Linked DNA regions of Drosophila melanogaster. The protein of the gene in region 1 binds, or shares a complex with, the protein of each later gene. Each region holds a gene or a part of one and is shown on either strand. Other genes may lie near its edges. The genes, in order: eIF3i, eIF3a, eIF3d1 and eIF3m.

What was found.
Region 2: eIF3i (region 1) and eIF3a share a complex: the UniProt entries of both Drosophila melanogaster proteins name them as parts of the eukaryotic translation initiation factor 3 (eIF-3) complex.
Region 3: eIF3i (region 1) and eIF3d1 share a complex: the UniProt entries of both Drosophila melanogaster proteins name them as parts of the eukaryotic translation initiation factor 3 (eIF-3) complex.
Region 4: eIF3i (region 1) and eIF3m share a complex: the UniProt entries of both Drosophila melanogaster proteins name them as parts of the eukaryotic translation initiation factor 3 (eIF-3) complex.

The regions. Positions count from the first base shown.
Region 1 is NT_033779.5:4,964,441-4,970,807, reverse strand, and holds eIF3i (eukaryotic translation initiation factor 3 subunit i), read left to right. Parts: upstream 1-3,032; 5' UTR 3,033-3,114; coding exon 3,115-3,117; intron 3,118-3,294; coding exon 3,295-3,784; intron 3,785-3,839; coding exon 3,840-4,327; 3' UTR 4,328-4,441; downstream 4,442-6,367. Other genes in the region: l(2)05714 (lethal (2) 05714), read left to right, coding at 24-596; Polr1C (RNA polymerase I and III subunit C), read right to left, coding at 662-1,523, 1,584-1,723; Scox (synthesis of cytochrome c oxidase), read left to right, coding at 1,983-2,376, 2,440-2,801; CG34125 (uncharacterized protein), read right to left, coding at 4,534-4,926, 4,986-5,072; CG34124 (uncharacterized protein), read right to left, coding at 5,533-6,120, 6,177-6,367. UniProt on the Drosophila melanogaster protein: Component of the eukaryotic translation initiation factor 3 (eIF-3) complex, which is involved in protein synthesis of a specialized repertoire of mRNAs and, together with other initiation factors, stimulates binding of mRNA and methionyl-tRNAi to the 40S ribosome.
Region 2 is NT_033777.3:4,428,491-4,437,322, reverse strand, and holds eIF3a (eukaryotic translation initiation factor 3 subunit a), read left to right. Parts: upstream 1-3,427; 5' UTR 3,428-3,575; coding exon 3,576-3,624; intron 3,625-3,721; coding exon 3,722-4,806; intron 4,807-4,856; coding exon 4,857-7,095; intron 7,096-7,154; coding exon 7,155-7,204; 3' UTR 7,205-7,525; downstream 7,526-8,832. Other genes in the region: Lipt2 (Lipoyl(octanoyl) transferase 2), read left to right, coding at 216-920; CG1074 (uncharacterized protein), read right to left, coding at 1,272-1,816, 1,873-2,668, 3,137-3,262. UniProt on the Drosophila melanogaster protein: RNA-binding component of the eukaryotic translation initiation factor 3 (eIF-3) complex, which is involved in protein synthesis of a specialized repertoire of mRNAs and, together with other initiation factors, stimulates binding of mRNA and methionyl-tRNAi to the 40S ribosome.
Region 3 is NT_033777.3:23,676,518-23,683,627, forward strand, and holds eIF3d1 (eukaryotic translation initiation factor 3 subunit d1), read left to right. Parts: upstream 1-3,521; 5' UTR 3,522-3,673; coding exon 3,674-3,872; intron 3,873-3,994; coding exon 3,995-4,630; intron 4,631-4,699; coding exon 4,700-4,992; intron 4,993-5,068; coding exon 5,069-5,623; 3' UTR 5,624-5,800; downstream 5,801-7,110. Other genes in the region: GILT3 (Gamma-interferon-inducible lysosomal thiol reductase 3), read left to right, coding at 893-1,120, 1,339-1,647, 1,721-1,834; GILT2 (Gamma-interferon-inducible lysosomal thiol reductase 2), read left to right, coding at 2,451-2,510, 2,577-2,741, 2,867-3,160, 3,219-3,323; CG16710 (uncharacterized protein), read left to right, coding at 5,986-6,061, 6,253-6,865, 6,938-7,110. UniProt on the Drosophila melanogaster protein: mRNA cap-binding component of the eukaryotic translation initiation factor 3 (eIF-3) complex, which is involved in protein synthesis of a specialized repertoire of mRNAs and, together with other initiation factors, stimulates binding of mRNA and methionyl-tRNAi to the 40S ribosome.
Region 4 is NT_033778.4:14,160,908-14,167,479, reverse strand, and holds eIF3m (eukaryotic translation initiation factor 3 subunit m), read left to right. Parts: upstream 1-2,654; 5' UTR 2,655-2,948; coding exon 2,949-2,993; intron 2,994-3,109; coding exon 3,110-3,289; intron 3,290-3,343; coding exon 3,344-4,282; 3' UTR 4,283-4,414; downstream 4,415-6,572. Other genes in the region: CG18327 (uncharacterized protein), read right to left, coding at 1-61, 141-388; CG8323 (uncharacterized protein), read right to left, coding at 810-1,337, 1,756-1,891, 1,955-2,202; O-fut1 (O-fucosyltransferase 1), read right to left, coding at 4,754-5,844, 5,900-6,017; CysRS-m (Cysteinyl-tRNA synthetase, mitochondrial), read left to right, coding at 6,319-6,329, 6,389-6,572. UniProt on the Drosophila melanogaster protein: Component of the eukaryotic translation initiation factor 3 (eIF-3) complex, which is involved in protein synthesis of a specialized repertoire of mRNAs and, together with other initiation factors, stimulates binding of mRNA and methionyl-tRNAi to the 40S ribosome.

The DNA.
Region 1 (6,367 bases):
CAACTCCGTATTTATACCTACAGAATATGATTAAGGGTGAACTTGTCAAAGATGAGCATGACCCAGACTTGGAGGCCTCCATAATTTCACCCAAAGCAAAGCCCAAAGCCAAATCAAAGACCTATCCAAGGCAAAAGCCAAGGAGCAAAATGCAGCCAAAGATCAAGAACGACACGAAGGTGGAGAGCATGGAGGAGGAGACGGAGGAGGACGAAATCGCCTCGAACGACTCAATCCTGGATGATTTACTCAGAACAGATCAGCCCTATCAAGAGCAAGAATTTGAGGTTGAGAACGAGTTCCTCGAAGTACAACAGAATGAAACAGATCTCCAGGACCAAGAGGTGGTCTACGAGGAAGAGATGATACAGCTCAAGCCGGAAGATACGGAGATTAATAACGAATACCAAGTCGACGCGATGACGGAAGACACCATTATTAGTGAATTTGACTTGTTTGGCAAGAGTTTGGCTCTGCAGCTGAACAACATGGACCTGGAGGACGCACTAATGTGCCAGGAGCGTCTGCAGGTGGTCCTAACGGAATTTCGCCTGAAGGTGCTCAAGCGCAAGAGAGAGCAAGCACGATCTTCGTAGGCTTACAATTTATATCAAGCTGTCTTATGTACATAATATAATTTCTTTAACAACTAAATAAATAACTATTCTGCCTCAATTTCGTCAATTAGCGCCCGGCACTTTCTCTTCAATACCTTGACCGCCTCCAGGAAGATGACATCGGGCTTCAGTGCGCCGACTGATTCCACGGAGAAAATGTAGTGATCTCGGATACGGGCCAAAGTCACAGCGTCGTTTAGCTGGGGATAGCGATACACATTTCGGCTGCACGTGTCGTAGCGTGCATCCTTTACATAGGCAGTTTCATTCTCGTCAATGCCAATTACTCCTGGTGAGAAACAGTTCTGTAATAGGTACGCATCCTTACCGGTCACCTCGCGGTTCAGCTTAATCATGGGCAGCAGTCGGTAGGTGGCCGTGGCCACCGGCGAGAATTTCGCGTGATCCCGTCCAAGTCCCTTAACCGCCACCAGGCGCAGATCCAACTCGTGACCCGGACGCAATTGGGCAATCAGTATGTCATCGTGAATGCAGTTCACAGCACTCTCGCTGTATATCTGCGCCTGCTTTCCTTTGGGCAGCCACTTCAGATGACCCGAGTACACTTTGTGGTTTTTGTAAATGTCATCGAAGTTGGACTGATCTTTTCCAGCATCCCGTCGCCGCGAGCACTTCACCTTCAGCTCAAATTCAAGCGTATCCTGCTCGGTCCCCGCCTCAGTGCTTTCCTCGGTGCGGTATGCGAATAGACGGGGATCAGCCCGCAACGGAAGTAGACCCATTCGATGGGCAAGTACCTCGTCCTGGATGATCGAGGTGTTGTTGTATATGTACACCTTTTCGATGGCCATGCTGGGCACATCGCTGAGCATCAGGCGACGGAAGGCATTTGCAATGGCGGGATACACGCCAATCAGATCGAACTCCAGGCCGTCTTCGTCGTTTCTAGAAGTGAACACCAATTGTTAATCGACTCGTAAGATTCTAATTTCTATTGAGATTTACCTGACGATTTTGATGTGCAGCTTTTCCTTGAAAGCCTGAACGGAAAATACATCGTCCGCCAGTCCATAGTCCTGCGGATCCTGCTTCACCCGATACTCCTCCATGTACAGAAGCGGCTCCTTGCGATTTTTGCTTGCCATTTGCCCCGGTGTTTTTATTAAATAATTTAACAAAATTGAACCGCACGTGTTGGAATCAATAAGACCGCCTTCTAATACCAAAATATACCAAACTAACTAACAAACTAACTAATATACTAAATAAATATACTTTATGTACTAAATAAATGCTGTTTCGCCGTGACTGGCTGAATAGGAAGAAGCAGCAGGACACCGGCGATATTTTTATTTCTCCAGAAGATTTACGTAAAGCCTTCAAATTTCTGAAACCGGGCGTAAGATGTCCCGCTCCCTGCAACGCTTAGTGGGCAGCTGTCGTCGCTGGGCACAACAGCCCGCAATTCGTCATTATGCCGCTCCCGCAGATTCCACTAAAGGCAAGGGTCCGATCTCTTGGAGAAGTCTGGCCGTCATTGGAGCCCTTGGAGCCGGAGGAGTGGGCTTCATGCTGTACGTGAAGAGCGAGAAGGATGAGGCGAGAATGAAGGAGCGTCAGCGGCAATTGGGAAAAGCAGCCATCGGCGGCAGTTGGGAATTAGTTGATTCGCAGGGAGCTGTTCGCAAATCGGAGGACTTCTTAGGCAAGTGGCTGCTCATCTATTTTGGCTTCACCCACTGCCCGGATATTTGTCCCGATGAGCTAGAGAAGATGGCCGCCGTCGTCGATGAAGTTGGTAAGTAGAGCCTGACTATTTCTTCCAAACCCAAAAAAAACCATGTTTCTCAAACCTTCACAGAAAAGTCCCCGCAAACGCCAGCAGTGCAGCCCATCTTTATCACCGTTGACCCAGAACGTGACTCCAAAGAGGTGGTGGCCAAATACGTAAAAGAGTTCTCCCCCAAACTGCTGGGACTCACGGGAACCGTCGAACAAATCCGCAAAGTGTGCAAGGCCTTCAGGGTTTATTTCAGCGCTGGACCGCGGGACGAGGACAACGATTATATTGTGGATCACACCATCATCATGTACCTGGTCAATCCCGATGGCGAGTTTGTCGATTACTACGGCCAAAATCGGGACAAGGACCAGTGTGTGGCATCCATTTTGGTGAACATAGCCAAGTGGAATTCAATGAACAAAAAGGGATGGTTCAGCTAGGCTGGCTAAGCTAGGCAAATGTTGTTTCGTTGTATTTACTTAATGTATGGCATAAAATATGGTTTTTACTTGATGTATATCAAGTTTTAAATCCAAATTTTCGTTTATATTGGCTATACCTTAAGTTCTAGATTGTAAAAATTTCTGGTTGTTCAAAATAAACTTGATTAACGGTATTTTTTAGATCCCCCTGGTATATCGAAGTGAGATTTTGACTAGGCCACGGTCACACTGCTCTTTTGGCGTGTAGTGCTGCGTGGATGTTGTTGCAAAAATATTCGTTTTCTCGCAACAAATAACAATATAATACAAAATGGTGCGTGCCTGGTCAATGACTACACAGTTTGCATTATTCCGGATGGGTTTCTTTAGAATTTACCCGAAATTACAACTATTTGCAAAGTGTGAAAGTCGTGTGAAATTCCGGACCAAACATAACCTTAAAAGCGGCCTAAATTGTTGCTAAAAATTCGTATTATTCTGTCTTTTATAGCGTCCGTTGATGCTTCAGGGCCACGAGCGTTCCATAACGCAAATCAAGTACAACCGCGAGGGCGACCTGCTCTTCTCCTGCTCCAAGGATCAGAAGCCCAATGTGTGGTACTCGCTGAACGGAGAACGTTTGGGCACCTACGATGGTCACCAGGGTGCGGTCTGGTGCCTGGATGTGGACTGGGAGAGCCGTAAGCTCATCACCGGCGCCGGTGATATGACCGCTAAGATCTGGGACGTCGAGTACGGCACCGTTATCGCCTCCATTCCGACCAAGTCATCGGTGCGCACCAGCAACTTCAGCTTCTCGGGCAACCAGGCAGCCTACTCAACGGACAAAGCGATGGGACAGAGCTGTGAACTGTTCCTCATCGATGTCCGCAACGCCGATTCCTCGTTGTCGGAGCAGGAGCCCACACTCCGCATCCCGATGACCGAGTCCAAAATTACGTCGATGTTGTGGGGTCCTCTGGATGAGACCATCATCACAGGTTGGTGTTTACCCGATAATCTATTATGAAAACCGTTTAAAACCCGTATTTCCAGGTCACGATAATGGCAACATTGCCATCTGGGACATCCGTAAGGGTCAAAAGGTGGTTGACTCTGGCACGGATCACAGCGCTGGCATCAACGACATGCAGTTGAGCAAGGATGGCACCATGTTTGTGACCGCCTCCAAGGACACCACCGCCAAATTGTTCGATTCGGAGTCCCTGATGTGCCTCAAGACCTACAAAACGGAGCGTCCAGTAAACTCGGCGGCCATCAGCCCAATCATGGATCATGTCGTGCTGGGCGGCGGTCAAGATGCCATGGAGGTGACCACTACGTCTACGAAGGCTGGCAAGTTTGACTCGCGCTTCTTCCACCTGATATACGAGGAGGAGTTCGCCCGACTCAAGGGCCATTTCGGACCCATCAACAGTTTGGCCTTCCATCCGGACGGCAAGAGTTACGCCTCGGGCGGAGAAGATGGTTTCGTGCGTGTCCAGACATTCGATAGTACATACTTTGAGAACATCTTCGAGTAGTTTGTATCCAGTAGTGATTTAGTAGGATCAGAGCCGGTGGACTTAACATAACCATTTCACCGGCGACATGTTCGTTTGCTTAGGGAACTTTCAAATATACGCGAGGACGAAACGAAACGGATCGCGTCGTTTATTTTTATAACATCAAAGGAGTGGAAAGAGGTACAACATGATTATATTCGAGTAAATGGTGTGCCATGTGTAACCTAAAAAAAGGAACGCTTTTTTTGCTTGAGAACCACAGGCTGACCCTGCATGGCCGCCCACTGAGCCGGTGTGGGCAGGCAGCCCGGCGGAGGAGGCGGAATGACGACATTTCCGTTGGAATTTGTCCTCACCTCGGCCCGTGAGTCCAAGTGGAGGACCTGTGCTGCAGCTGCTCCTGCCGACGTACTGGGACCAGCAAGTCCGAAGCCACTGCCATGTGTCATACCGTAGTTGGGCTGCCCGCTGAAGGGCATCTGCTGTTGCTGGTGGCTGATCATGCCGTAATACTGATTCTGGCTGGGCGGAGCACCTCCTCCTTGTGGATAGCCATAGGCACCAGCACCGGTGCCGCCGTTTCGCTGGCTTTCTTCATACGTTGGCGGAGGAGCTCGCTAGAAGTCGCAAAACTTTAGATGGCGACTGGTATTTGATAATCAAATTAACTTATTACCATGGCCATGTCATCGCCGGAATGGCGATAGTCGTAAGCGGGAGCACTTCCCTCGCTTGGTGGACCTGCTTTTGATGGCTTCGACATCTTATCTCGTCTGTAATTTGAAGTTGCACTTTGTTTACTTGCAGTTTCTCTGAGTCACAAACAGGGTTGTCAGCTCATCGAGATTAGTGATGTCGTAAAGTTTTCCCGTCAGATCTGGATTTATTCGAAATTTATTTTCTGCACGCGAATTGCTATTTTATTTCTTTGGCGTTTTAAAATAAATAAAAAATGGGAATAATATGTCCCTCACAATTTATTAGTAAATTTTTGAGTTGTGCTATTAGGACGCCAGTTATTGAAACACACGCTTTTACAAATAATTCAAAATCAGATTTAAAGATGTTCTATGGTAAAATATACATGTTTGGGTCACCTTTTTCGAAATTCAAAGTGAAGTCTACAAAAAAATATGTATTGAGTTACTTTTTGTAAATCGATGTTGTCAAGTTCCAAAAATAATTAATTTTTGAATTTCTACCAAAGTATTTGATATGGATGTCTAGAAAGGAAGCCCACTGCTGGTTCCTGGCTTTTTCGTGGCGATCCTCACCGACATGGGCGACTCGCAACTGGGCTGCTTATATTGCCGCCTTTTTATCAGGTCTCTTTGAATGGAGCTTCCCAGGCTGCGAATGGGCACCGCTGTAATCCCATCGATCAGATTCTCCCGGGCGTGCTGGAGCGTGCTATCGATCAGCTGCTCCACGGCTATGGCTCGAGGATCCACCATCGGTTCACGCTCCAGCACGTCCACAATCATGCGCAGGGTCTCGTCCGCCTGGAACTCCTCCAGCGGCAGCACCTCAATCAGCTCTTTGAACATGTGAGCGACGATGAAGTGGGTGCGGTTCACAACCTCGGAGTCGCCCATATGGACATGAGCGCACAGCGAGTCCTTGGCGTGATCGAAAATTCCGGATATCAGCTCCTCGGTGTTCACATCAGAGCGTTCGTAGTCGAACACAGCCACCACCTCGTTGAATAGCTTGCGAAGCTCCTCGTTGCTGATGTGGATGAAGTACTTCTTCGGCACAAACGTCTGCAGATGCTCCGTTATGCACTCGGCTATGCGATCCGTGTACCGACCCTAAAATATAACCTTTGGTAAGATTGAGTAAACTAATTGCTTTTAGATCTAATCACCTGGAAACTGTAGGCGGCCTGGCACAAATAAAGCGAGGAGCGCTGGGCAAACTTGCGCACATTCTCCGGAGTGGTGCTCTTCCCAAAGAAGCGATTGAAACTCTTCTGGACAATGGTCTGTACGCGATCCATGATAAACTCATCGGGCATGGGTGGCAGCATGTAGGCGTCGACATTGAGGATGGCCGGGC
Region 2 (8,832 bases), on another chromosome or scaffold:
TTTCCCTCCAACGTATTTTCCGAATTGTTGTTAAACTGTTGGATTATTAATCGAAGTTTCCTCAAATAAAAAAACAAATTTCGCCAACTTTTCCATTGCCACCAATCAGCCGTTTTTGAAGATACATATATTGATGAACCCGCTGATCGTGCAGCCCTGGTTAATATTTGTTGTTTTAAACGTTGCAGTCAAATGATTTTTAAACAATTAAAAAAATGCCTTTTGTCCGACCGCTGGTGACCGTGGTGCGGGCCGGGCGGCATAGCTATTCAGCAGGATTACAGCTACAGCAACGTCTTGCAAGGTCCAACCAGATCCTGAATCCGCCAGCGGAGTTCCGAAACTACCTGGTGCTTCAGGAGCACGACCCGGTCTACACAGTCGGACTAAGGACAAAGGACTATACGGCGCAGGATGAAGACCGACTCCGCCGGCTAGGAGCAGACTTCCATCGCACAGATCGCGGTGGCTTGATCACATTTCACGGCCCCGGCCAGTTGGTGGCCTATCCCATTCTGCACCTGGGTCAGTTCGTGCCGAGCATCCGCTGGTACGTGGCGACGTTGGAGCGGATGGTTGTCGAGGCCTGCCACCAGATGGGCATTTCCAGTGCCAAGGCGACCAAGGACACCGGTATCTGGGTGGGTGACAACAAGATCTGTGCCATCGGTATCCACGGCTCGCGTTACGTCACCACGCATGGAATCGGCCTCAATTGCTGCACGGATCTGCAGTGGTTTGAGCACATTGTGCCCTGCGGAATCGAAGGCAAGGGGGTCACCTCGCTCAGCAAAGAGCTGGACAGACATTTTCCTGTCGAGGAGGCCAGTGGCGCACTCCTCAATAGTTTCGCTAAAGTTTTCGAATGCCGCCTTCAGGAACACGCCAAAAAACCAGCAAGTTCTGCTGAAATCGGATAATATGGTTATTTGGATACATATGATGTATAAAGGACCGCCAAGTTTATTTCAACATTTATAATTTAAATTATGCATCAATACATATTTCCTGGCCTTCTGTTATCTCAACTTTTACGAAATGGAAATTTGTAAACTAGATTTATGTATTTCATAAAATATTAAAATAACATTATAACTATATACATATATAGACTCATTGTCAATCGTATTTATCTATTTTTTTTTTTGTCCAAATCTGAATCAAAATCTTCGAAATGTATGCCATACAAGAAAACTCAGCGACACACAGCCAACAAAAAATTTGGCCCGAATCGAAGTTATATCTTACTATAAATTACACTTCAATGGAGATCACATAAATCGAGCTTTATTCAGGTCACACTTTTTGGAGCGCCCATCCGTAGGAATCTTTCCCCGTGCATTCATCTCCACACGAGCCTGTTCCCGCAGCTCTGCCTTCCGCATTCGACGCTCTTTGCGTGACTCCAGAGCATTATTAAAGTACCGATCCCTGAAGTCCTGCGAGGGCGTTGGCACCTGTTTTATGCTGCACAATAAGGGTTCTGTTGGACTATACTCGAAACACTTTTCATAGGTGAGTAGCCGCCTAGCTGTATTCCCAGTCAATTGCTGCTCAGAGTTAGCTATCAGGCTCAGATGCTGATGCTGTGGCAGCATCTTCGGGTCGTAGTCCTCGCTGTGAAAGGGTATCCAGCAGACAAGACGTCCTCCCAGTTTTAGGTGCCTCGCAGAGAACTCGAGAAGATCCCCATAGAGACTCTGCAAGGAATAGTGCGACGTTGATGGGTAATGCACCATGCTGTCACTTCTAGTGTTGGCCTTTACGCTAGCCTTTTTCTCCACCTTTTCCGTGGCCTCTCTTATTCCATAGGGAGCTTAAATTACCAAAGAATGAACATTTTAAGTTTGGTATAAAAAAGAATAAACCTACGATCTGTTATTATGCAGTCGAACGAGATGCGGGAATGCCACACCGGGTTGGAGAAATCGGCCACCACCACATCCATGTAGCGATCAGCGCAGCCGTACTGCTTCAAGTTGGCCCGAATGCTCTCGTCCTTCTCCCGCACTTTTTGGGTTATCCGGCTCGGCCGGCAGCGGGCGTGCACCATCATGTAGTCTATGTCCGCTCCCAGGACATACCCGCCCCACTTGGCGGCGCTTACCAAAAGCGAGCCCGTTCCCACAAACGGATCAAATACCAGATCCCCATTGCGTACCATCGCTTGGTTGGCCATTAGCAGGCTCAGCTGGGCGTCCATGCTGGTGTTACCGATAAACTTACGATGCTTCAGCGAAAGCTCCTTGATCAAATGCCGCTGACCATGGGCCATCAGCCGACCAAACAGAATGTCCTCCGGCTCAGGTGGCACAGCCGTTGGATCCAAGCCCCAAAACTCGATGTACCACCACTCCACCACGGGTTTCTCCAGATTGACCGTTCCCTCTATTGGCAGGTAATCCATGGACTCGATTTTCTCAACCTTTTCCCTCTGGCTGAAGTGCTTGTTGTAGGTCTCCACAACGATCTTAAAACTGGCATCCACCCGAAAGTATTCCGCAAGCGAATGCCAGTTCGCGGTAACATGATTCCGTAGCCTCTGGTGAAACTCGGGTAATTTGTTGGAGTGGGCGTAGAGCTCGAACATGGCGCGCAACGAAACGGACCTGGATGCATATAGCAACGCAGTATCCGTGTCCCGAAATTCGACCAACCAAAATGGTTTCTGTAATACCGAAATTAAAAAATATAAATATAACTATATATGCTGATGCTTCTATACTACAGAAGTATTTATATATGTGTCGCAAGCTCTAAAAATAATGTAATCAAAGTATCCTACACTAAAAACATCTAACAGGTACGCGGATCGTATTCGTAATGTATGTATACCAGGTATCAGGTATCCTTTCGAAACCTTTTAGGTTTTGTAGTTCCTGAGATCTCAACGATCGTATATAATTTATAGCTAGTAATGCTAAATTTCTACCTGTTGAAAACACTTTTGAAAATATAGTTTACTATTTTCTTCCTCTTACAAATACATATAAAATTTTTTTACGTTAAAAATATTAAACATATTAATAAAATTCCAAGTTTGGATATAACATTAAACCACAGGTTTTAAAAGTTATAGGGGAGGTGGAATTTGTTAATCTTGCGTTTTCAAAATTCTGGTACTAAAACACTTTACCCTGGTGTGTTCTGTAAGCCGCCGGACCTGAAGTCCAAACATTTTGACCAGCGAATCAAACTCCTGCACGCGAAAGTCGACATGCTCCTGGGCGAACCACAAGATAAACTTCCTCCAGTTGACCATGTCGCTATTTTAATTAATGAATTGTTTATTTATATTCTAGAGCGACTTCATTACTCCTCGTGTTATTGCTGTGAGCTAGCGGAGTTGCACTGCGATTAGCTGACCATCGGCAACTATCGGCCTGAACTATCGATAACGCAGCCAGGTGTAGCCCTGCGTGCCGTCGACTCGGCCATTTTGCATTAATATTGCAGCCACACGTAGGCGAGCCGAAGATTTATACAATTTTCAGCAGCCCCAGGTCTCAAAACGCTCCAGACCTGCTATCAAAATCAACTTGAAGTGCCGCCGCAAGTAAGTAAAGCGATCGGAAATGGCCCGCTATACGCAACGTCCGGAAAACGCCCTAAAAAGGGCTAATGGTGAGTGCTGAAAATTTTCCATGCGGTGTCTGAAGAGAAACTTTCGTCTTCGCGAATCGTGTGCTCTCTTAACTCGACGCCGCTCTCTTCGTCACAGAGTTCATTGAAGTGGGAAAGCCGCTTAGGGCGCTGGACACGCTGCAGGAAGTTTTCCGGAACAAGCGATGGAACTATGCCTACTCGGAGACGGTCATCGAACCGCTCATGTTCAAGTACCTGTACCTCTGCGTGGAACTCAAGAAGTCGCACATCGCCAAGGAGGGACTATTCCAGTACCGGAACATGTTCCAGCTGGTGAACGTGAACTCTCTGGAAAATGTAATCCGCGGCTACCTGAAAATGGCCGAAGAGCACACAGAGGCTGCCCAAGCCCAGTCCTCGGCGGCCGTTGCTGTTCTGGAGCTGGATGACCTGGACAACATTGCCACGCCAGAGAGCATCCTAATGAGCGCAGTGTGTGGCGAGGACGCACAGGACCGCTCCGACCGCACTATTCTGCTCCCGTGGGTCAAGTTCCTGTGGGAGTCCTACTGCCAGTGTCTAGAGCTGCTGCGCGTAAACACGCATTGCGAGGCGCTGTACCACGATATCGCTCGCATGGCCTTCCAGTTCTGCCTTAAGTACAACCGCAAGAGCGAGTTTCGCCGCTTGTGCGACAAGCTGCGCAAACACTTGGAGGACATTTGCAAGAGCAGCAACCAGACCACCGGTGTCTCGATCAACAAGGTGGAAACGCAGCAGCTCTGCTTGGACACCAGGTTGTACCTTCTTGACTCGGCCATCCAGATGGAGCTGTGGCAAGAGGCCTACAAGGCAATCGAGGATATCCATGGCCTGATGGCTCTGTCCAAGAAGACACCCGTGCCCAAAACCATGGCCAACTACTACCAAAAATTAGCCATGGTCTTTAGCAAGGCCGGCAACCAGTTGTTCCACGCTGCAGCGCTGCTGAAGCTCTTCCAGCTGACGCGCGAGCTGAAGAAGAACCTGACGAAGGACGACTTGCAGCGTATGGCTGCCCACGTTCTCCTGGCCACTCTTTCTATTCCGTTGCCTTCGGCCCATCCAGAGTTCGACAGGTTTATTGAGGCGGACAAGAGCCCCCTGGAGAAGGCGCAGAAGTTGGCCGTGCTTTTGGGCCTGCCCCAGCCACCTACTCGCGTCTCCCTTATTCGTGAAGTGGTAAGTATCACGCAATATAGTAATGACTTATGACTAATTCATAAACACAGGTGCGCTTGAATGTTCCTCAACTCGTATCTGAGGACTTTCGCAATCTATACAACTGGTTGGAGGTGGATTTCAACCCACTGAATCTGTGCAAGCGCATTCAGTCTATCGTGGACTTCATTGAGAACGGGCCCGAAAACGCTCTGCTCACTCCTTACATTCAATCGCTGAAGGACGTGACTATAATGCGTCTGATTCGTCAGATCTCTCAGGTTTATGAGAGTATTAAGTTCCAGCGTCTCTTGCAGCTGGCCAGTTTTTGCAACATTTTTGAATTGGAAAAACTGCTGGTCGAGTCCGTGCGTCACAATGACATGCAGATTCGTATTGACCACCAGAAGAACAGTATCTATTTCGGCACTGATCTGACCGAGAGTCAACGCGAGTACCGCCCCGACGGACCCGCTTTGCAATCGATGCCCTCGGAACAGATCCGCTCTCAGTTGGTTAATATGTCTACTGTTCTGACACGGGCAGTTTCAATCGTCTACCCGAACCGTGAACGTGACCAGCGGGCCAAGCTCCGCAACCAGATGGTAAACCATTACCATGAGATCAAGGATCGCGAGCACCAGCGTATTCTTCAGCGACAGAAGATCATCGAGGACAGAAAGGAGTACATCGAGAAGCAGAATAATGCTCGTGAAGAGGAAGAGGCGCGGCGTCAGGAGGAGGAATCGCGGAAGGCCAAACTGGCCGAACAGAAGCGCCTCGAGCAGGAGCAAGAAGAAAGAGAGCGCAAGCGCCATCAGAACGAAATCCAAGCCATCCGGGAGAAGAGTCTCAAGGAGAAGGTTCAGCAAATCTCGCAGACGGCTCATGGTAAGAAGATGCTTTCCAAGCTGGATGAGGAAGGCATTAAGAAGTTGGACGCCGAGCAGATCGCCAAGCGGGAAAGCGAGGAACTTCAGCGCGAGGCCAAGGAACTGCAGTCGAAACTCAAATCGCAAGAGAAGAAAATCGACTACTTCGAACGCGCCAAGCGCCTGGAGGAGATACCGCTTTTCGAAAAATACTTGGCCGAAAAGCAGGTTAAGGACAAGGAGTTCTGGGAAGCAACCGAGAAGACACGCATCGAGAATGCCATTGCCGAACGGAAGGATGCCGTCGCCCAGCAGGAGCGTCTCAAGCGCATGTATCCGGACCGGGATGAATTCCTTGAGGCCCTTAAAAAAGAACGTGCCTCCCTCTACGTCGAAAAGCTCAAAAAGTTTGAGGCTGCTCTGGAGGCAGAGCGCAAAAAGCGCTTAGCCGACCGCATTATTCGACGCCGCGAGGAGCGCCGACAGGCCTTCCTTCGCGAGAAAGAGGAGGAGCGTCTTCGCAAGGAGGAAGAGATTCGCTTGGCACAGGCTGCCGAAGAGCGCGCCGCAGCAGAAGCCCGCCGTTTGGAGCGTGAGGCTGAGGACGAAAAGCGTCGTGCCCAATACGAAAAGCAGCGTGCCAAGGAGGAGGAAGCTGAGCGTAAAATCAAGGAAGATCGAGACCGCCTGTCCAGGGAGTTGGCCTCGGAGCGCGAACGCACTGAAAAGGACCGTGACACATGGCGTCCTCGAGGCGGTGACCGTCCAAGCGCATCTAACGGCGGATCCAGCGAGTGGCGTCGTGCTGCACCTGCGGCCAGTGAACGCAACGACCGTGGTGGCGAGCGTATCGAGCGCGGAGGAGAACGGATCGAGCGCGGTGGAGAACGCCTCGAGCGTGGTGGAGAGCGCATTGAACGAGGCGGTGACCGTGACCGCAAGGACAACGAGGGAGCGGACTCCTCTTGGCGTGTGCGACGAGAGCCAGATTCACAGCGTGCAGCTGCTCCCAAAGACAGTGGCGCTCCGCAATCGCGCGATGACAAGTGGCGGCGTGGCGGAGAACGTGACCGCGATTTCCGCATTGATGGGGCTCGTCGCGACAGGGATGATGGGCCTCGGCGTGACCGTGACGATGGTCCTCGCCGGGATCGTGACGATGAGCGCGGTGGATTCCGCCGCGCCGACGGGGCGCGTCGTACCGACGAGCCTCAGCGGGAAACTGGAGGGAACTGGCGCGACGCTCCACGCCACGCTGATCGGGAAACCCGTCGCCCAGCTGAGAGGCGCGACCGAGATGTGCGCGAGACTCGTGGCGATCAACGCGGCTCTGCTCCTAAGGAGGCAGCCAGTGGCGGAGTAGGCGGAAACTGGCGTACTGCTCCTGCGACCCGTGAGGAAAAACCAGCAGCTAAGCGCGATCAAGCCCAGGAAAAGGGTAAGTAATCTCAGCAGCAAACCTAATTTCCATTCTTATCAATGCGTTACATCTTTCAGAGAACAAAGCTGGCGATGATGGCGAGTGGACCAGCGTTAAGCGTCGTTAATTTTTATTTTCATCATCGTATATACCCAGCATAATATTCTTAATAAGTTTTTATTTCATCCGACTTGTACTTTATTGGTGTAGAGCTCAGTCGGCCGGTATATTATATCTATCTATCCAAAGCTTGTGCCAGATAGTTAAAATTGAGATGGTTGTAGGACCGATACTAATTAAAGTACTTTCGAATAAAATAACTATGTTCTAAAAAATTGAAAAGTGAAATTGTCGAATGAGAACCTTGGGAATCAAAGAAATGAAAAGTGGTTATTATTGGTTTAATTCAAAAATTCTAATTCTTATTTATCAGATTTCAGGATGAACCAAGCTTCCCTTATACGTACAGTGATTTATAAACCAGTCCCTTTAAATTTATATTTCGACAGAGCTAAAACTACATTAAAATGTAGTTTGCAAACTAAACAAATGCGGGTTCTTCTATAGTTTTACAAAGTTCGTTCTTGGAAGCGTGGCTTTTTAACATTAGGTTTTTTAATTGCCCATAAATAAAAAATGCATTCAAAAGTATTGTAAATTGTATTATCACATACGCTTGACTTATTTTAAAAAAGTGACATCTTTCTTAGGTAAAACCATATTCGTTGGGAATAAATTCGAGTAAATTTAGAAAAGCTTTTATAGCAAGCAAAACAAAAATATTCTGCCTCTGAAAATTTGCCTCGATAATATGAGCCCGCGCCTTCTTCGCACACTCAACTAGTATTTTCTTGCGAACTTGGCACTAATGCCATGGCCTCGCGGATCCTCCGCGGTGCGCGCCCCTGGTCACACTGTCTGTGCCGCTGCCGCGAATCTCGGTCCACGTGAACAAATTTTGGACAATGTGCTATACGGTACTCATGAGATAAAGTGATTGCGGGTTGCTTTGGAGTGCAGTGACGTTGGCCCATCTTAAACCGCGGGTGATCGTGATCTTCGGGCGGAACAGAAAGACGCAGTTTGACTGCCGCAAGAAAAAGCCCTTTTGGGCACCGGACTTGTGTGCTTGTGTTAGTGCTGCAGACGCGGCGCTCAACATGTGAGGTTAAAGCAGACGGCGGCAAAAATCCGAACGAACAAGCGTTCGGCTGGGGAAGCCCTTTTTCGAGTGAAATAGGTGATCCGGAACCACAACGGAAGCTCAGAAGGTAATATTGCTAGGCGCGTGCCACAGATTGGACATCGCGAATGCGATAGCGAATCCGCTGAGCTTTGGGGAGAAAGGCTTTCGAAACCAAAGTGCCAAGGTGATAGGCAAGACCTGCGAAACGTATTCATTCAACTCGATTGCTTTTCGCCAAGGAGTGCAGTATCAAAAGCACATGGCGTGGCGGCATTTACACGCACACGCGCCCATCGTGGCTCACATACACATACACGTGGTTGGGGCAAACATGTGCTGTTGCTGCTACTGCTGCTTCTTCTTTCCGCCATCGTCGTTGTGTGGGCATGTTTGTTATTGTTGTCGTTGGCTAAAACTATTGTGTTTTGTGTTCCAGGTCCATGTGTAGGTGATGCAGAGGCGCTGAAGATTGATTAAAATCATTTACACCCGTCAATCGTATAGTAGAGGGTATGTGACTGCTTCAATTTTCGAAATGTTAATTTTACCATTTAGGAAATCTTGGTATC
Region 3 (7,110 bases), on another chromosome or scaffold:
GATTGCCACTGGCCAGCGAAAATGTGGCAATCGCACCGTTTTGGCCATTAACCCATTTTTCGGTCCGGTTCTAAAGTTATTCCGTATGACTTAATTCAGGTTTTAGTTTCTACATGCTATAGGTATTATACCTTATATTAGTTGCGTAGTCATGCCTTTAATAGAATTATCTGGCAATAATCAATTATTAATTAATAGCTAAATTTACTCGCTGAGCATTTTAATTCAATTAGTTCAATTGCTGGCATTATTTAATTAGTACCACCATTTGATAACTCGCTGCACTTGACTTTGCATGCTATTAAGTTATTTTATTTACGCTGCAAACGATAAGTAAATTTATTAAGTAATTTTCAGTTCTGCTGTTTAACTTGTTTTAACCAGCATTCATTTATTTTAGGTATTTGTTTCGCTTGAAGAGAAATAATACCTATTTGCATTCGCTCTGGACAAAGCTCTTAAATCTTAAAAACATACTATTAACATATAAATATGTACATACATATATGCAAACATTTTAATAAACATTATTAGCTCCTGCCTTATCTGAAGTCCAAGAGTTCAATGGGTTAAGCCGCAGCCGTATGCCAGTTCTCTCTGATTAGAGACCAGAGATTAGAGATATATGGCCAGTTGATGCTACGATATTTGCGCAGAGCAATTGTTCGTTCGATGGCGGGAGAAATGGGAGAGAAAGAACAAATATATAATATATATATATATATACATACACGTATATATATATATATATAGGAGGCGAGCGTGTATTTGTGTGAATGTCACAGATGTGCGTGATTGTTTCCATGGAGCGGCGCAAGTGAAATGGGCAAGTTGAAAAGAGCAGTTGTGTTTGGTTTGTGAGGCTGCCAAGAGCGAAAAACGAACGCGGACAATGAATAAAATATTTGGGCTACTGTTTACCCTGTGTCTGCTGCTCGTTTGGCCCACGCCCGGAAATGGCCAGTCCCCGGATGAGTCCCGGCTCCTGGTGGCCATTCACTACGAGGCCCTGTGCCCGGACAGCATGAGCTTCATCCGGCGCAGATTGTACGATGCTCTGCAGGACAACGACTGGTGGTCGGTCACCGATCTAAAGCTATATCCATTTGGCAAGGCGGGGGTGAGTCAGCTAAGATCAAAATGATAGAATTCTTATGCATACTATAGTCATTTCTTTAGTACTCATTTCGAATTCATTAGCAGTTCATTTCGAAAACCATTTGTATTTACATTAAAAAAAAAACAGCAATAAACTGAAATACACACACACAATTTGTTTGTAGATCGTGAAATAGTTCATGTTTTTTGAGGTTTTAAACCAGAATTTGTTACGTGCAGTTCTACAACAACACATCCACTGGCGAGAGCCAAGTATTTTGTCAGCATGGCGTGGATGAGTGCGAACTAAATGCACTCCATGCCTGCATTATTGAGACCCTGGACATTCGGAAGGCCTTCAATCTGATCTACTGCATGCTGCGCTCCTATTCGAATGAGCTGGGCCCGTGCTCGAGGAGCATGGGTGTGGACGTCAGCAAGGCCAGGGAGTGTAAGGCATCCCGAACCACGGCAGAAATACTGGCGCCCTACGGCAAGGAAACCCTTAAACTGGGCATCTCCTTTGTGCCCACCATTGTGTTCGAGAATGTGAGTAACCAACCCAACCAGGCTTACATGATCAAATACCAGACTTAACTTAACATTACCCTCTGATCCGCAGGACTTTGATCCTTACGACCAGAGAAGCATTCGCAACAACTTCGAAAGACACTTCTGTCGGCAGTATCTGAAAAAGTTCAACATCAAACTGCCCACTTGTTCCGCAATTTTGTAAACTTTTATGTAATGTACTGAGTAATTTAACTGTTTCAATGTTCCAAGACCAATAAACAATAATTATAACCAACTGGAGTGTTTGCTTACTCGCTGACTCACTTGGGGCCAATAAAAATTTACATGTGTATAGTATATACATATCAGCTTATCAGTCATGTTTTTGTATACAGATTCTAATCAGAAACAGCTGTCTGGTGGTCTAAAAATAAGATTAAAACCCCGCTGCTCAGTAAGTTTTCCGTAGTCAGCGCATAAATGTAAAGGGGAAAATGCTGGTTGACAGCAGGGGCGTCGAATTGGTTGGCTAGTCACACCCTTTATCTATATATTTATATTAATTTTTTCAAAAGCGGATATATTACAGAAAAATTATAAAAAACAAGCGAAAAGTCACCCTACTATTGCAATACAAATAATTATTTTTTTTTTAACTTATATGATTTTTGAGCCCCCCTTGAGCATTTTCTAACCACGCCACTGGCCGCTTCGAATTTGACGAAACGCAGTGACAACGCTGCGCATTACAAGTCCCGGAATTATTTCAGTGTCGAGCGTTCGCTGGCGTTGAGCGGCCGAATATTTCAAGATCAGCTCGGGATTAAACTGAATTTGCCATGAGGGCGGCTGTCTTTGTGTGTCTGCTGCTGGGATGGGTGGGCGTGGCCACGCCAAGGGTAAGTGACCCAGTTGATCGGACTGAATCCCGAATTGCGACGCTCCCATTGATCGTGACTTTGCAGCGTTTGCGCGGACCGCAAGCTGACCGACTGGCGATCACCCTGTACTACGAAGCATTGTGTCCCTACTGCATGGAGTTCGTGACCACGCAGCTCAATCCCTCGATGGTCCGTCAGGATCGACTTCCATTCACTGATCTTACGCTGGTTCCTTATGGAAATGCCAGGGTAGGTTTCATTTTTCGTAGCTTAAACTAGTAGTTATAGTACAAGTACATAGTATAGCTCAATTTGAAGTTTTAGAGTGTCAATCAGCGTTAATCCGCACTTAAACTTCGCTTAATCCCCTCCAGACGAACGATGACGGAAATGTGGAGTGCCAGCACGGAGTGATGGAGTGCGAATTGAACGCGTGGCACGCCTGCATACTGGAGCACCATGACATTGCCCAATCCCTCAAGCTGATCGCCTGCATGATGAGGGGTAAGAAGAACAGGCTGGAAAAGTGCGCTGACCACTATCAAATCGACGTGGGCGATGTCAAAAATTGCAAGAAAACGCGACAGGTGAACGACATTCTGAGGAAGTACGGCAAGGAAACGGCCAAGGTCTCATTTCAGGGAGTGCCAGCCGTAGCTCTGGATAACGTGAGTTTAAATGCGAAAGAAATTCATGAAATCTAAAATAAAACTTTGTGATTTTAAGGTTTATAACGCGGATCTATCAGCAAACTTAACTGATCATTTTGATGCCATTTTTTGCGCCAAGTATAAGGAAAAGTTCAATAAGCAGCTAAATAATTGTCAATAAATATTGTGTTCATTTAACAATACATTTTTTTATTAAAAAATATTTTTTGCATTTTCTTTGTAATTAAATCGTAAAATCAGGTTCTGAAAAATGAATAGTTCGAATTTTTAGTTTTCCCGCCCAGCAGTGGCGCCATCTATGACAGCATGCTGCCAGACCTTTGAACATTCGCTACGATTTTAGTATTTTTCTTTGGCGGTGGTATATTTCAACGCGACAACGGTCCCACTCAACTATTTTCGCAACACGCGACGATACGAATTTTCCACATTTCTTTGTTGATTTCTGGAAAATCGCTGTATATAGACCGAATAGCCGACTGCAGACTGAGCACCAGGTAAACGCGCGAGATGAGCGAGACCATAAACACCGCGGCTCAGTTCCCGAGCTTCGAGAAGCCGACCGTGCAGTTCAATGAAAAGGGCTGGGGTCCCTGCGAGCTGCCCGATACGTTCAAGGATGTGCCGTACCAGCCGTTCAGCAAGAACGATCGTCTGGGCAAGATCTGCGACTGGACGAATACGTCGAACAACGACAAGAAGTACCAGAGTGAGTTTATTCCCCACCCGAAACCGACCCACAAAATACTAATCGCCGAAAGTGAGGTTAGGTAGGTGTGTCGTGGCATGATATTGTTGCTAACATATTGGTGGTTGGTATTCCATTCGCAGACAAGTATGCCTCCAGCTTTGGCACGGGCATTCAGTACTCGTACTACCATGAGGAGGACGAGACAACCTTCCACCTGGTGGACACGGCCCGCGTCCAGAAGCCGCCGCACCAGCGCGGCCGGTTCCGCAACATGAGGAATTCGCGTTCCGGTCGTGGCAGGAATGCCCGCGGTGGCCTTAATACTCACGGCATGACGACGCTCAGCGGCAAGAATGTAAAGGCCCGCGATCCGCGCCATGGTCGCGGCATGGGCAAGAAGTTCGGTCATCGCGGACCACCACCAAAGATGCGCGAATCTTCGGTGGCCGTCCGCGCCGATTGGGCATCCATCGAGGAGATGGACTTCCCGCGACTCATCAAGCTGTCGCTGCCCAACATCAAGGAGGGCGTCGATATTGTCACCTGCGGCACGTTGGAGTACTACGACAAGACCTACGACCGCATCAATGTGAAGAACGAGAAGCCGCTGCAGAAGATCGATCGCATCGTGCATACGGTGACCACCACAGACGATCCCGTCATCCGGCGTTTGTCTAAGACCGTCGGCAATGTCTTCGCCACGGACGCCATCCTGGCCACCATCATGTGCTCTACGCGATCGAACTATTCCTGGGATATTGTCATCGAGAAAGTTGGTATGTTAAATGAAATACGAAATATAATAATAATAAGAGAAATAAATAATAATTGTAACCTTATTTTAGGCGACAAGGTGTTCATGGACAAGCGTGACCACACCGAGTTCGATCTGTTGACCGTGAACGAGAGCAGCGTGGAACCACCGACCGACGACGACAGCTCATGCAACTCCCCTCGCAACCTGGCCATCGAGGCGACTTTCATTAACCACAACTTTAGCCAGCAGGTGCTTAAGACTGGAGACCAGGAACCCAAATACAAGTTCGAGGAAAGCAACCCTTTCATCAGCGAGGACGAAGATATCCAAGTCGCCAGCGTGGGCTACCGCTACAAGAAGTGGGAGCTGGGAAGCGATATTGTAAGTGTTGCATAATCCAACTTTAAAGTTGGAATATTTTTCTATATTATGTTAAACTATTGTCTTATACTTTTAGGTCCTGGTAGCGCGTTGCGAGCACGATGGTGTCCTGCAGACGCCAAGCGGCGAGCCGCAGTTCATGACTATCAAGGCACTCAACGAGTGGGACTCGAAGTTGGCCAATGGCGTGGAATGGCGTCAAAAGTTGGACACGCAGCGCGGTGCTGTGCTCGCCAACGAGCTGAGGAACAACGCATGCAAGCTGGCCAAGTGGACTGTGCAGGCCGTCCTGGCCGGGTCCGATCAGCTAAAGCTCGGCTATGTGTCGCGTATCAATCCGAGAGATCACTCGCGTCACGTCATCCTCGGCACGCAGCAGTTCAAGCCGCATGAATTTGCCACTCAGATCAACCTGAGCATGGACAACGCCTGGGGAATCCTGAGATGCATCATCGATCTGGTGATGAAGCAGAAGGATGGCAAATACCTGATCATGAAGGACCCCAACAAGCCGATCATCCGTCTGTACGACATCCCAGACAATACTTTCGACTCCGATGACTCGGACGATGGCGAGGGCGATGACGAAGGTTTCCAGCAGGTCTACAACTACGCGCACAACAAGATTTAGACGCCACGCCCCCCTACTCCTGCATCCCTTCCAGTCTTGGGCTCTTTTGCCACAACCCGCTAAGAATAACCACAACTGATGTCCTCTAAAGGAAAAGGTCATGTTATAGGCCCTAGCTTAAGCATTTGTATTCGATTTAAATTCAGATATTTCCTAGTAAATCACAGAGGGCGAAACAATACATGAATTTTTATTGGTCCAGGTCTAATGCCGGGTACTTGTGATAAAAACTTTCGACTGAAACACCGAGGTCTTGTACGTAAATGACTGACTCATTTCCCGGACTCATATATAGTAAGCTGATTGTGCGTGTCGGGCATCTAGTTAAGATTTAGACATTGTTTAAACTCTGACGGTTAAAGATGGTCTTCCTACAAAGAGTGTACATATCCTTCCTGGTCCTGCATACTCAATTGCTGATGTACCTGGCTGAGTCTGGTAATATATGTTGCAAGTACTCCACATTGTATACGTTATAACATTCAAGAAAATGATTCATTTGGATATGGGTATTTCCTTGAATTTTAAAATATAAATAGCTTTGTTTCGTCCAATCATTATCTAAACATCCAATTAAAATGACTCACATAATATAATATTTATTAATATCCAATTCTTTACTGTATCAGAATATCCGCCTTGTAATCTGGATGAGAAATGCATTAGTCTAGCCCGCTGCACATCACTCTTGCCCTTTCTGAAGCCCCACAACATGACGCCAGCCGAGAAGGCGGTATTCGAGGACAGATATTGCGGCTATGGCCCCAAGGGGCAGGAATTATTGGACAGAGTTCTCATCTGCTGCCCAAATATGGGACACATTTTGCCAAATACCCAGATATGTGGACCAATCATGCCGGCTTATCGAATTTTCGGAGGAGAGGAGACGCAACCCAACGAGTTGCCTTGGATGGCCCTGATTCTATATGCGCATCGCAGCCGTTCGGTGTGGAATGAAAGACTCGTGTCCAGGTGCGCTGGATCCCTGATCACAAACCGCTATGTGCTGACCGCAGCCCATTGTCTGAGGATAACGGGATTGGATCTCAGGAGGGTGCGCCTTGGCGAGCATAACATTTTAAGCAATCCCGACTGCGTCACCCATATTAATGGTAGGGAACACTGCGCTCCAGAGCATCTGGAAATTGACGTCGATCTGAGTATCAAGCATAGGCACTACATGGTCTTCGAGGAAAGGCCCTACAACGACATCGCCCTGCTGCGATTGAAGTTTCCAGTACGGTTAGTTGCACTTGACCTGTCATATCTTTTACTACATATATATATATATATATACATTTCATATGTCTTTAGCTATACCGCTCAAATCAAACCCATCTGTGTTCAACTTGACTATATCTTCTCGAATCCGTCCTTCAGCAACCATAAGTTGCAAATAGCTGGCTGGGGACTCTCTCATAAGCAGGGCTATAGCAATGTGCTGCTACAGGCCTATGTCAATGGCAGGAACGCGGACGAGTGCTCAT
Region 4 (6,572 bases), on another chromosome or scaffold:
GATCTCGCCCTTGTTGTTGTGGACCCAACCCTTCTCTACGGCATGGGTGTATATGCTCAATCTAGAGCAGATAGAGAGATAGAGCACATATGTATATTTTTGGAAAACTCCTTGTAGGATAACAAACAGCTTTAACCTACCGAAACGAGTTTATTACAAACTGGAAGCATAGCGCTGGAGCCAATCCTTTTTGCAAGCCAAGAATTCCATCGTTTTTGGCCACAGTCACAAAGGCCTGGAAGACACTCTTGTAAGGCTGAGCATGAGATCCTCGGGCGGCCAGCTCTCCCTGTAGTTGAATGCGAGTTTTGATCACCTCGACGGGATTGGTGAAGACACCAGCGCCCATGGCAGCCACGCCGCCCAGCACAAAATCCGACGTAGCCATCAATGAGACGTCCGTTCTGTATCACAATCTAGTGATCACTAACGCCACACTTGCGATAAGCTAGCTGCTTAAGACTTGAGAGCAATATGCGTTAAAATGTAACAGTTAAACTGGTTTATTTCACCAAAATATTGCACGGTTAATGGCTACAGGAAGAGCTCTTAAATTAGCTTAATGAAGGCACAAGTTGGTTCTGGGGCTTTGCTAATCTAAGAGATTGGAACTAGGACATTAAGCTAACTCACTAAAGACTAAAGCCAGATTTAGACAAACAAATTGTATGCGGCGGCACTTGCATATCAAATTTGTTTATCAAAGCTTGGCTTAATAATAAAAAGCAATGTGTATATTTCCGGGTGGTAAAAACGATTTTAACAATTTTGTACTTAAATTAATGCTACCTAGCCAGTGATCTTTGGGGTCATTGATTACTATACTTTGTGCGTACGGCGACCAGCTCGTCAAAGAATAGCAGCACAAGGGTTGAGTGGGGGGCAATGCGCAAGTAGTTGGCCCAGAACCCCTTGTACATACCATAAACGCCCTCTGATCGTAGGATTTTCACAAAGCAGTCAAGCCAACCGCGATAAAGAAGACCGCGTCCTTCGGCGTCTACGCCCTGATTGTACAGACGCGTGGTGATTACATCTGGCGGCGTTATGGCCACCGACATAATGGATCCGGCTATCAAGCCAGCCGAGAAGGAGTTCAACGTGGGCTGGGTCACCAGATCGTACTGGACCAACAGGGCTTTGGTCTTACCAAAGGTGGCTATCTGGGCACCTGATCCCAAAGCCGCCCTGGGCAATGCGGCCACAGATCCTCTCCACAGTCCTCGTACTCCATTCCTGGAGTAGATCTGACGCAGGGCATCTGTCATGGAAGTATGGGCATGTTGGTAGCCAACGGCGATTTGCTTGGCGGCTTGTGATTGCAGCTGAGTTTTGATCTGGATGCAAAAGAAAGGACCATAAATAATAATATAGAAATATAGACATTGTACATAAGAGAATTGACTGTGATAATATGTTAATGTTTACAATACTTATTAAGTTATTTAGCGAATATTTTTCTGTTTCTAGATCTTGAAAATGTCTTGGTATAAATAGGCTAACAATAAATGCGTTATGTCATAAAGTAATAAGCAATGCAAACAACCATAAACAGTCAAAAAATATGGAATATTTGGAAGTATAATACTTTCTCCCTGGATATCTTGAAATGGTAGTATTTAGATACTGATGGACAATTGCCAATAAAGTCTCTTATCTGTGGAAGGTCCATAATGCTGATGAGCACGCGGCTCATTTAGATAAACTATGTATTTGTTTATGTAACCTCCCGCAGCATTCCCACAATTGGCGTACCAGGAAAAATGGACTGGAGAAGTAGCACCCCACGACGCCGCCGATGGCGCCCCACAGTAGTCCCATTCCGTAGGACACCTCACCCTTCCGGTTGTGCATCCACCGCCTCTCCATTGCCTCCGAATAAATGCTGAGCCTGGCGAATGTAAATTCAAGATGATTAATAATTATAAAATATAGCTACTAAATAATTCCCCACCGGAAGGAATTGATGATGAACTGGAAGTACAAGGCCGGTGCGAGGCCCTTTTGGAGCCCCGTAATGCCATCATTTTTGGCCACCGTAATGAAGGCATTGACAATCCCCTTGTAGGGCTCCACATAGGTACCCCGTGCCGCCAGCTCGCCCTGCAGCTGGATCCGTGTCTTGATCACCTCGATGGGATTGGTGAAGAAGGTGGCCCCCACGGAGGCCAGGCCGCCCAGAACAAAATCCGATGTAGCCATGTAATCACGAGTTCTGCTGAGGATAGTGGTTGACTAGTAACGGTTGTACCGCCTGCTGCGGAATCTCTGTGGCTCTAGGAAGCCGCACGCTGCGTGTGTGTCGTGTATTTCATAATTCTCCGCCCCGATTAGCTGGCATTACTCCTGCTCTTCTCGCCCGTTATACAAATATAATATAAATTTGGCGAGCAATATAACTTAGTAGCAGCGGAGTTGCCAGACTGTCGCCAAATTAACAATTTAACAAAAATCGTGTCATTTTGCTTAACTGTAAAGTGATAAATGTAAAATAAATAACTGCTGGATGGTAAATTTAAAATTCAGGAGAAACGGGTTTTAGAACGTTAGTAACGGTACGGCTAAGAAGTCACTTAGTGACTTATATGTTTCAGAAGATCCGGGAACACTACTTTTGCCCACATTTATTGTTAGCTAGAGTCCCGTCAAAACATTTATAAAATTGATTTTTATGTCAGCATTAATACACTTGCAAAGCCATAACTATTTTAATTTTATTGAACTGAATGAATTTCAGAGGAATATTATATATTTTAAGTGGCCACGTTAACGTCATCTTAATTTAATTCGGTCAATTGTTTGAGAGCATCGCTATTAGCGGGAAACGGACCAGGCCGGCAGCACTGGTCGCTCTCTTTCCTTTCGAGCTGTCAAAGCGCCGAAGACGTGTGTGCGTGTTATTTTCAGCTGAATTTGTTTAAAAAAGTGGAATAACATTTAACAAAACCATGACTTCGCATCCGGTTTTCATAGACCTGTCCCTGGACGAGCAGGTAGAGTGAAAGTGCCCTGTTTTAGCCATGAATTCGGGCGGCGCCTTGCCCGAATTGAGGTTATGTCTTCCTCTTGCTGCAAAACAAAACTAATATTATTCGCAATTTATTAAAAGGTGCAAGAGCTGCGCAAGTATTTCAAGAAGCTGGGAGCCGAAATCTCATCGGAGAAGTCCAATAAAGGTGTGGAGGATGATTTGCACAAGATCATCGGCGTCTGCGACGTTTGCTTTAAGGATGGTGAGCCCTCGCAGATTGATGGAATTCTAAACAGCATTGTGTCCATCATGATCACGGTGAGTAATACAGAATACAATATTAGCAACAAAAAATAACCTTCAATATTTCAGATACCCCTGGATCGCGGTGAGAACATTGTCCTGGCCTACTGCGAGAAGATGACCAAGGCTCCCAATCTTCCATTGGGCAAGGTGTGCCTTCAGTCGTTGTGGCGTCTGTTCAACAACCTGGACACCGCCTCTCCCTTACGCTACCATGTGTACTACCACCTGGTCCAGGTGGCCAAGCAGTGCGAACAGGTGCTGGAGGTCTTCTCAGGTGTGGATCAGCTCAAATCCCAGTTTGCCAACTGCCCACCTTCGTCGGAACAGATGCAGAAGCTGTACCGCCTGCTGCACGACGTGACCAAGGACACCAACCTGGAGCTGTCTTCCAAGGTTATGATTGAGCTGCTGGGCACCTACACGGCGGACAATGCTTGTGTTGCCCGTGAGGATGCCATGAAGTGCATTGTGACTGCCTTGGCCGACCCCAATACATTCCTGCTGGATCCTCTGCTGTCGCTGAAGCCTGTGCGCTTTTTGGAAGGCGACCTCATCCACGACCTGCTGTCCATCTTCGTGTCCGAGAAGCTGCCAGCGTACGTGCAGTTCTACGAGGATCACAGGGAGTTTGTCAACTCGCAAGGATTGAACCATGAGCAGAACATGAAGAAGATGCGTCTGCTGACCTTCATGCAGCTGGCCGAGAGCAGCCCGGAGATGACATTCGAAACGCTTACCAAGGAGCTGCAGATCAACGAAGACGAGGTGGAGCCCTTCGTCATCGAGGTGCTGAAAACAAAGCTGGTACGCGCACGACTAGATCAGGCCAATCAAAAGGTACACATCTCATCGACAATGCACCGAACCTTTGGAGCACCACAATGGGAGCAGCTTCGCGATTTGCTGCAGGCATGGAAGGAGAACCTCAGCACAGTGCGCGAGGGTCTAACGAGCGTCTCCTCGGCGCAACTGGATCTGGCTCGATCCCAGAAGCTGATACACTAGGCGCACCACTTCCAAAAAATTGCACTGATGATGAACAAATGCTGGCCTCGGGGCACTGGAGTGACGACCTAAATTATTTTCAAGAATGCGAGAGGGCTGGATAACTTGAATAAATTTATAAGTAAAATCGGTAGCAAACAAGTGTTTTCATAAATGCGAGGAATACTTTAATAGCTTACAATTAAGTTGTAGTGTTTTTGAAGGCATTTAACGGGTTTCATTAAAATCCTTTTTAAGAATTAAAGCTAAAAGAATAAAACATAAATATACTGATATTCTTTAAAAGCACTAAATATTGGTAACATTCAAAAGTAAATTCATTAAATTTGTAAGTTGAAACTTTTACCTTAACCATTTAAGAAGTGAAGTCCAGAATATTGCTTAATCAATGTAATAAAACTGTCTAGTATTAGGAAAGAAAACCGAAAAATAGCCTATTCGAGTATTTAAGTAGATAATCCTGTTGCTCCATTACAGCTCCTCGTGCACGTTTGTATGCTTACGATCCTTTTCCTTGGGGAATCCCCAGAAGTACGATGGAAAACCGTGCACATCTCGTTCCCTTTTTTCGAATGCCGAGTAAGAGGATATACAGTTGCCGATAAAGTGGTTCGACTGTCCGAGAATGGCCAAGTCCAGGTAAGGATCATCCTCCGGCAGCTTGTGCACACTGATGCCCATGCGACTAAGGGCCGTGTTTAGTTCACCAATCATGTGATTGGAGTCTGACGCCACGAAAACTGATTTGATTTCGTTGTCCGGCTGAGTTTGGCGCACGTTCTTAATGGTTCTCTTTAGCTGGCGGATGATCGCCTCCTTGGAGGGCATGCAGAGCTCCGGGTAGAGTGCACCACGTTCATTTTTATAGCCCAAGCACTGCGGCGAGGCAAACAGATGCTGGCTATCCTTGACGTGCTCACAGGCTCTCACCCAATCGATACCGTTGCGCAGATGAATGCCCAAAAAGGCACCCCGAGGCAACTGCTCTCGGATGAAATCCTTAGATGCTTCCCTATACCGTTGACTCCACTGCAAGTAGCGCTGCAGCTTGCAGTTCTCTAGCTGAACAGGAAAACTAGCCGGAGCTCCGGTGAACGCGAGTACGGGATATGATTCTGCAGGATATTTGGTCTGCCACTTGGCAGCCTCGTTGCTATGATGCACATCAAAATGAAGTGGCGCATAGAACTCTGACCGCACAAAGTCTATGTGAAAAGTGTCCCAAAAGGGACCAAAAGGATTGCCATCCTTGGCGTGGCAATTGGGCTTGTCTGGATCGTTCTTCTCCTGCTGAAGGCTATATCGTTCCTTGTAGCAAAATGACACTCGCTCCGATTCTGGCCAAATGTCGTCGGCCAGGTGCCACATGAAATCTGCCATGGTGATGACGCGATGGTATTCCTTCAGGGGCTCCACTTCAAAATATGTGTTGAACGGTACCTGACGGGATCGCAGTTCACCCCTACGATACTCCACCCACGGCGGCAGGATCAGGGTGCGATTAAGCGCCTTGGCGAAGGCCAATGATCCCAGGAAGTGGTCGGCCTGGTTGCCAAAGCGTCCTTTGAAAAGCGCGGTTTAGTTGTCGTTTTTCGGTTGCTTCCAAGTGAAACTTACCCATACACGGACAGTAGGTGAGGTAGCCATTGGGATCGCCCCCCAATTGGGCACATGTTGAGCTTATTAATAGTAAAATTAAGTTTACGAAGCGAAGCTTCATTTTGAGCCACTGCATTCTGCCGGCTTCGATTTTCTTTGACCAGGTGGCAACTCTGTCTCTTTGCCAGATTACAAAATGTTTGGAATGCTTTTGTTTATGATGTGATATAAATATAATTGCAAACATAAATATATATTTGAAAATTTATGAAATTATATTGTGAAATTATTTTTTAATTTTATTGTGAGACTTTCTTACTATGGGCTAAAAAGCTCAGATCTGGCAACCTATTATTTTCTAATCAGATGTTATTGCTTACATGAAACTTTAGAAATAATTTTATTTAGACTTTAGACAAAATTTACAATATATAACAATGTATAGCCTGTGAGTATTTATGCGGATAGTGTCTTTTTTGTATTTCTAAGCCCAAATGTTTCCCACAGCAAGGAGGGGCTCCGGGCTCTTAACAGTCGAACGAGACCAGCTCTCATTTGCCGGCGCAACATTTCGGAGGAGGCTCCCAAACAGGATAGTCCGTTTAAATGGAGAAAACCAATTGGCCAGCACACAGGAATCAATATATACAATCACGGCTTGCGGCAGAAGGTACCCCTAATCCTACGCAAT